Saccharomyces cerevisiae S288C: one gene and its partner. Changing the gene in region 2 together with the main gene of any one other region gives a genetic interaction. Each region holds a gene or a part of one and is shown on either strand. Other genes may lie near its edges. The genes, in order: PRP3 and YFL041W-A.

Region 1 (3,800 bases), on a different chromosome or scaffold from region 2:
ATATATGATAGTAGATAACTTCCCCACTTTAACCCAATTTATCCCAGGTGAGAACGTTTCTTGTGAGTACTTCGTTTGCGGCATTATCAAAGGATTCCTTTTCAATGCTGGATTTCCATGTGGCGTGACAGCACATCGAATGCCCCAAGGCGGACATAGTCAACGAACCGTTTATTTGATCCAATTTGACAGGCAAGTGCTTGACAGGGAAGGTTTGAGATTTGGCTGATATCATCTCAAAACATCGGTAAATACCTAAAACCAAGAAAAGGATAAAGAGTTTGTATATTTACTGTTGATTTATAGACATATGCTCATATATTCATTACGAAGAATGATTCTTTTAATTGTCGATTTCCTTGAAGTACATCTATCATATAAAATCATTTTCTTTTTATATTTTGGAATGTTTTTGTGCTAAAAAAATCATTATTCTGGGCGACATACAGTAAAATAATATTTAATATGAAACAAAGCGTATCATTTTGTAGACACCGATATCACGTTTGAACAGGTGAATAAAAATGCTCTGAATCAAACTGACCCAGCGTACGTAATAAAGAATCCTGATCATTGCATACTTTCATAAACCAGCCTTTGAATTTACAATCTTGTAAATAGCCTTCCCAAGTTTTTGATATTGAATTATTATGCATGTCCATTTTTATATCCCCAGTGTTTGTGTGCAACTCAAAATCTTCATTCCATTTTATCCTCTTCATCACCAAATTCTCATAAAATTTGCATGATTTTTCGTTACCCACGACTATAATTATTCCTGGTCCGTCATCACGTATACGGAGGCATAAACCCTTTAGTGATAGTTCTTTACTATTCATTTTCAACTTGAATCTTATTTTTGGGTTCTGTAAGTTTTTGAACTGGAACACCTTACAATGGTATACTGTCGGCTTTTCAACGTTCATATTGACTGCTTCTTTCCTTCTTTTAATAGCATCTTCATGTCTTCTTTCGTTTTCTTCCAGATGTTTTCTCTTCCTGAGGTCCACTTGGTCTTTCACTACTTTTTCCCAGGCAGTTGGGTCCGTTATGTTTTGATCATTCTCGAAAACACTCATCATGTTGCTTAGTTTAACTTTCGGTTCAGGCTTAGGTAATAGTCCTAACTTAATTTTTATCTCCCGTGCTTCTCTTGCCATTTTCCTTCTATTTCTCCTTAATCTTTTCCTTTCATGTTGCGTTAGATATGCTTTGATTGATACTTTTGCCTCGTTGATCTTTTCAGGTAAGGGATGTGCTACATATCTTATAGATGGGTGCTCATCATCATCATCATCGTCTACTTCATCAATATCTTCTGCTAGCTTTTCTTCGGCAGGCGATGTGCCATTCATGTCATATTTTTCCATCAACTCACCCTTTTCATCTAAATAAGCCGTGTCCCACCATTCATAGCCATGATTATTATCATAGTATATCTTGAACTTTGACAAATCTAATAGGAACTTATCCTCATGTAACTCTAAATTGGGTAAATCACCTGACTCAATTAATTTTCTTTTATCTTTCTCGTCTTCTTCTTGTTTTAACTTTCTTTTTAATTCTTCCTCCTCCTGCTGTTTTTGTAATGTTCTTTCTTGGGCAATTCTTTTACTGATTTCTCCCTTTTGGTAAAACTTCAGACCCCGTTCATAACGCCTGTTAAATCTGCTCGATGAGCCTCGATCGTGTGGATCACTAAGATAGGGATTTTCACCAGTTTGATAAGTTCTTCGGATAAGATTCAAATTTGAAGACTTTAACGCTGAGTGAAGTTCGGTTTTCAGACCATGGCCCTGAAACTTCTCCTCATCATTGGTAGTTTCTTCACGCCGTAAGAAACTTGGCTTATAATATGGACTATTTTGGCGTTTCGGATTACCTTTTTCATAGGTATTTCTTGGGGGCATTTTTTCAAGCCAATTCAATAGATCGCCTGATGTTTTCTGTGAGTCTTTTTGATTGTTTTACGTCATCTGGCATTCTAATACTTTACTAGGACTATTTCTTGTTATTGATCAGTGCGGGATCCAGTCAGAAAAACGCAGATGTGAATAATATTAAAATTTGTATGCTAAAAAAATTAACATAGTCAAGAAACTTTCTTTGAGTCATGGCTCTTTACTTTAGAACATATAAGAACAATTCACAGTGCCTGTCCAGAGGCCAAAAGCAGTATCTCTAGCTAAATGGATATGTTAACTACTGTTTCATTGGAGAAGCAGTTTTTAACCTTCCTGTTTCGCGAATATAGCTGCCAAGTATTATCCAAAATTGGGGAGTGAAGAAAAAGTAATTATCAGCATTCATTTTCGAGAATTTTACCTAAACTTTTTCGATAACATTGATTGTTCACTACGTTACATAGCAAGCCAGAGCTAGAAAAACTTATTGATTACAATCAATAGACTTGCATCATACATAACTTCAGGGTACTTGCAAGAATTTTCCTACAAAAAAAGTTGACTACGACAACCTAAAGGAGAACAACAGATTTTGTCACCTCTCGTACTAGATAATTACCAAAAAAATGCTACCGAAAAGGAGATAAAACACATCTAGAACATAGTAGTATCATGTCATGGCTTTTTCAAATCTAAAATCTGTTCCCTGCAGTTGTCATTTTCTCTTAGTCGTCATTGATATTGTTAAAAAGTTCCGGAATACTATTGTTAGGTCGTATTCTTAAATGAATAAGCTGTCAAAAAATGGAGTAGTATGGCAGTAAATTTGGGAAGCACAAAAGAAAAAATAAAATTTCTTGATGAATGTGCCTTTCACGAATGTGACTTCTCTTCCATAAATCCTGTTTCTCATCAATGAGCAGCTTCTTCCTCCAAAGATAACTGTTGAACCCTATAATTGTGACAGGTCAAAGAAGCCAATATAATGAAAAAGATAGCCAGTATCTATATTTGAACCATTTTAAGGATTTCACTGAATTGCAACGATACTGTCTTGTTTCGTGGACCTTGCACTTCGTAGATTCATCATGTTCTATACGTTTTTCATTTCCGCATTCTAAACCCAAAAGACAAGGGTTACAGCGTATGTTACGACACAATTCAATTCACCATTCCTAAGAAGTTAATATTGCAATATTTTTGCAACAATAACAACCGCATTGCTTTGAAAGTAATTGCAATAACTATGGATAAAGATCCATTATCTTGACTGGTGCTACTTTCAAAGGAGGTATACCTAATAATATAAAGCTTTGAAAGAATTGACGTGATACTAACCTTGTACATTGATTCTCATTTTAACGATTTTACAAACTCACTTAGCACGCATTATTGCCGGAAATACGAATAGGAACCCAGCTTATAATGAACACTGTCCACATTTCTTTTAGGTGAGAATGCGATGATGGAATTGCAGCATTATTAATTACTAGTGTAGGGTATTGAATGTCATTTTTGTCGATTAATATGTACAATACATGTTATGCATAAAGGCACAAAGTCATAAAAATGTTATAGAATTATATCGAATAAACACATAAGAACGTAAGACCAACTACAGCCTTCCGAACCCAAACAATCCGCCACGCTTAGGCGTATTTTTACTCTCATCTTCCTTTCTGAAAGATGACGGGGATCTCGATTTACTCTTAAAAAAAGAGAATAAACCACCACCGCCTGAGCTTGGTTTCAAGTGTGCTGAAGTTACGACCGGTTTTTTAATACGTTTACCAGAGTTCGAATCATTAGATTTTACTTTTCTGAGCGAAGATGAGCTACTGACTTTCCTCAAAGATGAATCCTTATTACCAGAACTCACACTATATGACTTTGAAG
Region 2 (2,612 bases):
AATCCAAATGCAGCATCCCTGGATATAAAACCATTAAAGAGAGTTTTGCCCATCTTTGTTTCGATGGATATTGCGCTGGGGAACAACCCAGCAGCAGAAGTTTTTTCCATAAACGTGACATCTTCGAACGCAATCAGTACTTTAGCAATCCAACCAAGAACATTGGAGTTGAAGCAGAGATGCGTTTCTGTTATGTATAGTTTCCCCTGGTAAAGCAGCTCTCTATTCAGCCCACAATTAAAATCATCCAGTAGTCTGTCATCTTTAGGAACGGACTTGAATGTCTCATGAAAGTCTTTATTTCTTTGCTCAGACGCATAGTGATAAGGTGTGTCCATGTAACGTTCTTCCACGAATCGTCTATGATCGTAATTGTCTTCTTTCATTTGGGAAGGAGTGAGTCTTGTCTTGACCTCATCAGGCTTTTCCACCTGTTGCAAGGGAGAGCCTATTTCAGCAATTGTGGCATTACTGATACGGCGGCTTGATCTTCTTTTGGACCCCATGGAAGGCTCCCTTCTATGTGATATAATGCTTGGTTGCGAAACTGGCGAAGTTGGCGTAGTTGATCTAGAAACTGGGGATGGCACGTTTGACTTAAACGAAGAGATCATTCCACTGAAGAACGAGGACGTCGAAGAAGTCCTTGATTGATCGTGCTTGATCTCTGTAGGGTGTTCATCGGCGGCACTTTGGTTTGTAATCACTACTAAATTCTTGCGTACGTCGTTGGTCTCTGTATTTAGGGGCACTTCTTGCAGTGACTCAGCTTCAGTATCGCCGGCATTGTCATTGTTACTTGCATGCTCAAAGGGGGGACCCAATTGTTTCACAGAATCAGTACTGTCCTCATTATCTGATACGGGTTCCCAGTTATCTACATCCGACATCACCACTAATCTTTTTGTGTAGTTGCCTTCTTCACCCTTTTCTCAGATAGCGAAATGGTTGAGTGTTTTAATATAATTGTCAAGATGCTTTATGAAAAAGGGTGGGAGAAACAAGTCCCCCTGCTCAGCGATACGCGATCTCTCTGATCTCAGACATAAAGCAAACATTCTATCATGAGTGACATTGAGGATGACGGTAATTGGTAATATCTGACCTTCTGACCTCCACTCAACACAATGCAGAAAGCTATCAAATGTTTTGAACCAAACATGAAAGAGATTCAGAAAGTTGCCAAGCCAACGTGATGTCACAGGTCAAAGTTTAAGTGAAGGCTATTGGAATCTGCGGATCAGACATTCACTACTACACGGATGGCCAGGTCAGCGTAAAGTAACCTGGGAAGCCCATGACTTTGGGCCACGAATCCAACGGTGCTGTTCTTGAAATTGAAGTATCTCAAACTACTGTAAAGCGGGTGATGCAGTAAGCATATAGCCCTCATACCCAAATAGGTTTACCAAAGAGTTTCTGTGAGGCCATTATAGTTTGCAGCTCAACATACCATTTGCTGCATCACTGACCGTGACGGCACCCTTTGTCAAGAGTTCGTGGTTAACGTCGACTGCGTTTACTGATTACCGTTACAGTGAATTTCTAGCAAGAGTCCTCTGTAGATGCCACTATTTGTCGCTCTCCATGTAGTAAGGCCGTCCTAGCTGAAGTGTGGGGAGTAAGCTGTAGTTATAGGTGCTGGAACAATTGATCTGCTGGCGGGTGCGGTACTCAGAGGGTTTGGTGTTCATGAGTACACATGATTCCAAGAAAGAGCAAAATGGACAGTTTATAAACGCTATGAAGAACTGCTATAATCAGAAAAAAAGGAAGCCTGATGGATTCGAGTCCTCAGGTACTCAAAAGAGCGTTGAGAATATGCTAAAATGTGTCAAGAACGGTGGAACAGTTAAGTAGGTTGATATCCACCCCTCGAATGAAAATGTGGGGACCCTCCCAACGAGATTCCTTCAGAGAGATTACATATAAAGTGAAATTCAAGTATGACGATGGTGACTACTCCTTGGCCATTGATTTGATGTCTAGGGATTGTATTAATGTCTATGAGTTGATTACCGATAGGCTACTGGTTGATTTCCTTTCAAAAAAGCTGCTCAAGCTAAGATAGGTAAGGTGTTTATAGAATTTATCGAACTGTATCTAAATATTTTTAATATTCTTGTTTTATTACTTTGTGGCTTTTGTATTCAGTCTGCACCCTGTTTCGCCATCGATTCTTATAATACATACATTTTTATATAAGATCACAGAAAATACGAAGACGTAAAAAAAGAGTTCCGAATGAAAGAAGAAAGAATCAAGCACAGGAAGACAAGAAACGATGTTGTTCTACTCGTTCGTGTGGTCTGTACTGGCCGCTAGTGTTGCTTTGGCAAAGACACATAAGTTAAACTATACCGCTTCTTGGGTAACTGCCAATCCTGATGGATTGCATGAAAAAAGGATGATTGGTTTTAATGGCGAATGGCCACTTCCAGATATCCATGTTGAAAAAGGAGATCGTGTTGAGCTTTATTTGACTAACGGCTTTCAAGACAATACTGCTACTTCTCTACATTTCCATGGTCTTTTCCAGAATACGAGTTTGGGGAACCAGCTTCAAATGGATGGTCCTTCTATGGTGACACAATGTCCCATCGTTCCGGGAC

The links.
Region 1: mutations in YFL041W-A (region 2) and PRP3 together harm fitness more than expected from each alone (negative genetic interaction), as found in Saccharomyces cerevisiae (one large-scale study listed by BioGRID).

The regions. Positions count from the first base shown.
Region 1 is NC_001136.10:1,403,945-1,407,744, forward strand, and holds PRP3 (U4/U6-U5 snRNP complex subunit PRP3), read right to left. Parts: upstream 1,911-3,800; coding exon 501-1,910; downstream 1-500. Other genes in the region: TRAPP subunit TRS31, read left to right, coding at 1-229; JIP4 (Jip4p), read right to left, coding at 3,520-3,800.
Region 2 is NC_001138.5:46,855-49,466, forward strand, and holds YFL041W-A (uncharacterized protein), read left to right. Parts: upstream 1-1,879; coding exon 1,880-2,071; downstream 2,072-2,612. Other genes in the region: LAM5 (Lam5p), read right to left, coding at 1-890; ferroxidase FET5, read left to right, coding at 2,285-2,612.